Schizosaccharomyces pombe: one gene and its partner. Changing the gene in region 2 together with the main gene of any one other region gives a genetic interaction. Each region holds a gene or a part of one and is shown on either strand. Other genes may lie near its edges.

Region 1 (3,757 bases), 1.6 Mb from region 2:
ATCAATGTTGAGTCTATTTTTTAACAATTGAACTGCTTCACGGGCTGCATTAATACAAATCCTTCGATTCTCTGTCGACGAGCTAGGTCTGTGTAATATAATTAAAGTGTTTAAGTAAGAAAAGTAAACTTCCATACCTGCGAAAGTTAAAAATTCGAACCGATCGCTAAGCGATATAGTGGGAGAAAAAGTGTTGTTTAGCAACATTTCATGATACATTTTTATTTCAGAAGGAAGGTTTTCTTCCCACGCTTTCAATTTTTGATGTATTGGTATGATGATTTTTTCTCTCGCTGCCATTTGCGTAGGTGACTTCACGCTGTATAGTCGATTTCGTATTTCACTCTGAATTATTGTCAACGATACGGTAGGAACAAATATCAAATCACCACCAGATTGTACACCAAACAAAAGCTCATATTTGCTATCAGGCAAATTACAATCAATATCCTTGTCGTTAAAAACGGAAGGGGTTCCAAAAATCAAAGAAATATTTTTATCGAGAATATAACACATCCAAAATATCCTTTTCCACGATTCAGCCTTTTCAGGCTCCACATCAGTGGATTGCTTTCTATGTAAGTTTAATTGTTGGGCCATGAGGCAGGCTTGGCCGCACAAAGTCCGACATAAAGAAGAGCTAGACAGGTAAGCTGCGTACTGTGTCATGACAATTAAAGCCTGAACTTTGTCAATGCTCGGAGTAAGAAAAAAGTCGGACTTTTGAACAAAAACCCAAGCTGTTGAAAACAAAGACTCTGCAAGCGTCTTTGAGTTACCAAGTCTTTTCCTAATGCTGCTTAATGCTAAAATAGAATAAAAAGAAATTAGCCAAGCATTATTGCTATGGAACCCGAACGCATAAAGACGTTCGAACTCATACATAAAATCATTATATACGAAGGTAGGCCACCACCAATTTACATGCTGAAAGTAAGACGTGACTAACTCATGGGCTACTTCCTTCTTGGGAATGTCATGGAATGCCTTCTCCCAGTCCGGCAACTGTGGAGGGAACAAGCTTTCCACATTCAGTATCCGAGTAGGTGTATTGTCGACAGGGCTACCTTGTCTGTGTTTAATAACAATCGATTCTGCATCTTTAATTTGTGTAACCAAGGAAGGTAATTCAATAGCCTTATTTTCACGTTTAAATTCTGAAGTTTCAGTAGCTATATCTAACAACAAATCGATTTTTTCTTCAAGCAATTTAAGGCGTCTCTGAACGGATTCTTCACCATCCTCGGGTTTTTCAATGTTTTTACTAATAGTTCCATTAGTAGTTAATGCAAAATTTTCTTGATTTGGAATTGAGTGATCACTCGGTTCTGGCTCATTGCCGTTAATACCAGCGGCATAATCAAACACGGGTAACGTAATTCCCCCAAACGTCTCCTTGCTTCTTTGAACAAGTCTCTTACGGCGAGCACGATTAGAATAATGACAGTCCGCTTGAAAAAGAGTACAAGTCTGACATCTTGGTTGCCCTCGACTACATTTAATCTTCTTCAACCTGCAAAGATCACATGCTTTATTTTGAGACATCTTATGTTAAGAAAAGAGTAATTAAACAACTATCTTAAATTCTAGCTGAATGCGTATCAATTGTAAGCAAGCATTACCGCCTTTGGTGCAGTTTACTGTTAAAAAGCATATACATCTGCAGATTTATTTTAGCACTACTCAAGTCGTGCTTAAGTATAGGTTATAAGGGAAGTGATGATAAGAAAATCTGGACAAGACGATAAGTATACGTACTCGAAAGATAAAAAAAATTTTATATAATCTTATATTACTGATAATGATAACAGAGCCACTAATTCATTAAAAGACATTAAAACAATATTAAGCTATTTAACTAAGACTAGGAACAAAAGAATAAAAAAGAACTGTTAATAAACATACAATTATAAAAGCACAGTAAAAATACAATGAAACAGCGTAGCTGTTGCCAAAAAGAAGAGTTAAGAAAAGTATAACACTCAGGTTAAATTACTCTGTGATTTGCTTCTGGTCAAAATCTTTTGGCAAAGGTAAACTGCTTAAAGATAGTTCATTTAGTGGAACACCAGATATGTACTCGTTCTCCTGTTGAACAGTAGGTATTGGACCTGTAAAAAAAGTTTTACCACCAATCTTTGGCAAATAATAATACACCACGCAAAAGACCATTACAAATCCAAGGACCACTATAGCCCAATTCATCTCATCTTGGTTGGGCTTTTGATATTGAGGAAACAAAAGCATAAGAATCATAAACCACATCCAAACTAATGACCATAAGGCTGCTGGTTTGCTCCATTTTCCAACGTAGAAAACACCAGGTTGAAATTTATTGTACACAAATCGACACATAAGAGGGCCGGAATAAGCGATATAAAGAGCAATAATTGCTAAATTAAACACAGAAGAAATGGCAGTGACATTAACCAAAATTAGTAGACCGACTAAAAGGCTATAGAGTAGCACTAAAAGAATTGCATTTAAGGGAACTTTCTGTTTAGTCAAAAGACGTAAGTATCTACTTCCTGGAATCCCGCCGTCTCTGCAGAAAGCAAATACTTCTCTAGATGCAGCAATCAGTAACGAAATGCAGTTCAAACAAAGGGCAATGACCAGCAAAGAGAAAATTCCTAAAGCTCCCTTATTTCCAACATTGTTAACCAGTACTTGAGCTACAGGCTGGCCTAAAGAGGAACCTAGAATGGCATTAAAATCGTGACCCATAGTAGCTACAACGGTGATAACGATGCACCATCCAAGAATGGTAGCCACACCAAGACTGGAAATCATAGCAAAGGGAGCTGCTTTGGCAGCATTCGTTGATTCTTCAGCAACAGCGGCGCTAGATTCGAATCCGCTTACAACCCACACAGGAGTAGTGAATGAAAGTATAAATGCCCATCCCATGTTTGACCATCCAGAATAATTTGTAAAATCACCGAATATAAAACTTCCAGAATTTCTAGTAGTAGAGTCAGATCCTGCGGCAAGGGCAATAATAAGAATAATGGATACAAGGAATTGGAAGGTAATATTAATGATGTTCACCTTCGCGATAACACGAGAGGGAATTGCAGTCATGGCAGAAATCACGAAAAGCAACGCTGCGTAAATTCCGTACTGTTCATATTTTGTAGGTGAATAAGAAGGACTACCTATCACAGCTAGTGCCTGTACCATAGATGATGCAGAGTACACTGTTGAAGCATAAATCGTAGCGTAGCCAAGCACTGACACGTAACCACAAACCCAGCAGAGAAATGCTCTTGACGATGGTGATGCTAGGGTAAAAATCCAAAAATAAAGACCTCCAGAAGTAGGCATAGAAGACGCCAGTTCGCCCAATGATATACTTACTGGAATCAGACATATACATCCAATAATCCATGACCAAACCATGCCTCCTCCTCCACAGTTCATCGAGAAAATGAGTGAACCCGCCATAGCCGGACAAAGACCCATTGATCCAAACGATTGACCAAAAATGCTAACGTAAGAGAATTCTCTAGTGAATTCTGGTTTGTAACCAAGGCTCATCAGAAGCTCATCATCTTGATTAGCTTCTCTGCTTTCGCCCAACTCAACTTCATTTTCCCATTGCTTCTGATTTTGTTTTAAGCTTTCTTTGTCGATGTCACTCATTGTAAATGCTGAATGTGAGTCGTCCTTACAAGCAGAAAACTCTCAAAGCAAATTGGTCTTAGCAAAATTAGCAGCTCGTAAATATTTTATACCAAATATTTTGAATAAGACT
Region 2 (3,757 bases):
GTCAAATATGCTTTGCGTTGACATGCCTAACAGCGGATTAGTTGTTATATGAACAAACCGATTGATATTTGAAATATAGTCATTGATGCACCTACTGCTATATTCGATTATATGCGAGTTAAGATAACTTCAATCGACTTAAGTTTGCAATTTTTTATGAACCCTAACACACATTGCATATAGTAATGGCGAGGTGCTAGTTGCTTAGTGGTAAGTTTTTACAGCAATATACCCTCGTGTTTTTAGCGAATAAAAAATTGAGACTTATTAACATGCTATGAGTTTAATTTATTTTAGGTAATGTAAGTTGTGAGACACAAACGGAACCTTCAAATTTAAAAACTGACAAACACCGTCTTAGGGACGGCGAACTCGGGTACCAATTTTATAAGTGTAGCGGATTTACTAATAGAAAGCAGAAACCTATTGAATATTTTTTAATAAATGCAGTACTTTTTGATGAACCGTCATGGTTCCTTTCCTCTAATATGAGCGATTGTTAAAAGTACCCCACAAAACTTTCATATAAGATACTCGAAATTATTTAAACGTGTATAAATTTTATATTGCTTCTCTAAAAAATAAAAGAAAATTGAAAATATTAACATTAGCAGCATATCAGAAGAAACAAGAAAAAGTAATCTTTAGAATACGACACAAATCTGCAAGCAATTAAGGTATTACAGAAATCCATAAAAAATTCCAAATCCTAATTAATGCCAAATTTTCTAATACAGACTTGTTTATCGACACCCAAAAGAAAGTGTTACTTGTAACAACGATTTCGATTTTTTTCAATAAAGTATCGAGAAAAGCAGCATAATCGGAATGAATATGCTAACGTTTTAAAAAAACTATAGCATATTCATTGGATGAGGTTATAAAGGGCTAAAAGTTAACATACAGCCTACGGCCTGTGACGTTGTCAAAAGTTGCGCAGTGAAATTTTAAAGCCGCATTTAGGTATCTAAGGAGTAGAACACATCGTTCTCTGGAGCGTCTATGAAAGAATGAACAAACAACAAACATAATACTGGATTGCAGCTGAAAGGAAAGCTAAAGCGTCCAATGGAATTTCAATACACTGAGAAGCAGCCAAAATCATAACTTACAACTTTCGCAATTAAGGAGAAAGAAATCGAATAATCCCCAAGAATGACAAATATTTTATCGTTAATATAACCCACATCTCTTACAAAACGTGTATTTCTCAAAATCCAAACAGAAGAAGAACAACAGGGAAGCCGAATCAAGAATATCTAAAGGGGAACTATTCTTCATCCGACTCACCGGATCCTTCTTCTTCATCGTCATCGTCAGCAACGACATCTGCAGAATATTGAAGAGCAGGCGCAGGTCCTTCTAATGCAGAAGCAAAGACATCGTGAAAGTCTCCTGGAACAAGGTCAATTGGTCGAAAACCATCGTTGTTGGTAAGAAGCGGATCGGCACCAACCTCCATAAGCATCTCCACTATAATGAAACAATAGTTAGACAAATACACTCAACAAAGCAAACACTATAAACTATCCCGAAGCAAAATCGATGTTTGTGAAATAAGCGGAAGCAAAGTACAAAATTATGAGAAAGTAATATCAAAGAATTGTTTGAATTTTACATAATATAAGCGATCTTGCATACGTTGAATCATTCGTAAAACAACGTAGAAATACACAACTCGACTTTGACCATAACTTCCGAAAATAACAAAGAACACGAAAGCAATGATTAGCACTTCGGCTTGTAAATTCACTTACCCATACGTAAAGCAGTTTCCTGATCTTTTTTTATAAACATAACGGCAAAGTGTAAAGGTGTGTCCCCTGTCATACGACAGCGGTTATTCAAATTTACGCCAGATATATCTAAAAGCCAGTCAAGGCACTCTAGGGAACCATATTTTGTACAGACATGAACACAATCGTTTCCAAGTGAATCACGAGCATTATTGATGAAGCTCACTCCGTCTCCTTCCTGTTGGTGAACAACTTCCTCAAGCATGTCAACATTATTCGAGCGGCAAGCCGCAATTAACATTTCCGCTAAAAAATCGTTAGCAACTTGATACAGCCAATAAATCAAGCAGCGCTCTTACATGGCTTAGCTCCTTCAGTTGACATTCTCGTGACTATAGTGTATTATGTATTTGGTAAGTATGTTAGTTCTTCGGTCCGCTGAATGGATCTCTATATATAAGTGGGGGGCGTGGGGGACGGAAATGTTCGTCAGTTACGAATAAACAAAGCATATACTAAGAAACTGTTTAATCATTACTTCTCCAAATGGTATTGCAATTGATGAATTTAACAGTGGGTTTTCAAAATTTTGAGAACCTATGTTAACCTTTGCTTTGAGTTTATCAATGATTGCAATATGACCTAAATAAAGCAATGAATTAATAAAATTAGTACTTTAAGCACTTAAATTTATTTCTTTTATAACGAAAAACTGTCCTATAGTGACCAAACATTTAGTTCTCATATCCCGGATTATAACCGTTTGTATAACATATCTACGCATTCGACACAGCCAAAAGGCTTCTTCCTCTGAAAGAAAAATAAACAACATAAGTAAAATATATGCACAAAGCAATTGAACAGATGATCTTGGTACAAGTCAACTCTAATAATTTATACGGAATATTTGATAAGAAACTATAGAGTATGAAAAGATGAAAAAAACTGGTAAATAATTGTAATGAAGTAAAAATATGTAAGAATAAGCGTTTTCTGATGATCATTTTAAGAATATGGATTATTGTTATATACCTGTATTGCTTAGACTTCTAGTATCCACATCAAGAGTTTTCATATTTGTTCTTAAAAAATGGAATTCAAGCCTACTATTACTTTCATTCATCTTTTTAATAAACTTGTACGGATCTAATTATCATCATTATTTGAATCTACTCCGGCTAATTTAAGATACAAGATATTTAATTTTTCATATATTATATATATTCTATTAGACACCACTTCTCAACTAACTCCTGATGGTGTAGTTGGTTATCACACCCGGCTGTAATTTCGATGATACCGGTTGGTCGCTAGTTCGATTCTGGCTCAGGAGATCTTTTTTGCTTCCACCTGGTAAACTTTAAAATATAAATAAATATATGTTCAGATCTGATAAACCTTATTGTTGCAATCAATATCTCATTATAAAACGATAGGATGTTATCACTTCAATATTATCTTTCCATCCTTCGTGAATATTCCTAACTCACTTAAACTTTTCTATCAGATGTTTTTAATGAAGCCCTTTAATCAAATTAACAAGGATCCTAAACTACTTTATAAAATATAAGCAACTAGAGCTGACTAAAAAAATAATAATGTGTAGATATCCTTAATTAGGTAGGTATAGGCTCATAAGTATTCAATTAACAACTCTTAAAACCAAACAAAAAAAAAAGAATTAGAAAGGTCTAAACACTATCATTATGTCAGGGTTTCGTCCAAGTTACGCTTTCGATGTTCAAAGGTTTCTTGTAGAAGTTTGCCAATAAGTGGTCTACCTGAGCTTAATTCAATCAGCAACGCGTTTAATCGCTTATAAGCCATGAAAACCAAATCAAAATTTCGAAACTTCAGCCAGACACAATGCTTTGTGAAAGATGACAAAAGGCCAAAAGTCGTAGCATTAAAATTTTCATTAAACTCAAAGTCCAGATACATCTTAATGATTGCAGATGATAGGATACAAAAATAGAATTGGGAATACGGCCAGAAAAAATCAGTAAAATGGGATTCGTTAA

The links. Genes that interact genetically often act in the same process or in processes that back each other up.
Region 1: mutations in ank1 (region 2) and toe4 together harm fitness less than expected from each alone (positive genetic interaction), as found in Schizosaccharomyces pombe (one large-scale study listed by BioGRID).

The regions. Positions count from the first base shown.
Region 1 is NC_003424.3:118,564-122,320, forward strand, and holds the start of toe4 (transcription factor), read right to left. Parts: upstream 1,671-3,757; 5' UTR 1,546-1,670; coding exon 1-1,545. Other genes in the region: SPOM_SPAC11D3.08C (amino-acid permease), read right to left, coding at 1,993-3,645.
Region 2 is NC_003424.3:1,743,478-1,747,234, forward strand, and holds ank1 (ankyrin repeat-containing protein), read right to left. Parts: upstream 2,161-3,757; 5' UTR 2,121-2,160; coding exon 2,096-2,120; intron 2,043-2,095; coding exon 1,758-2,042; intron 1,542-1,757; exon of another isoform or gene 1,474-1,541; coding exon 1,271-1,473; 3' UTR 542-1,270; downstream 1-541. Other genes in the region: potassium ion/proton antiporter Kha1, read right to left, coding at 1-24; dal81 (transcription factor), read right to left, coding at 3,441-3,757.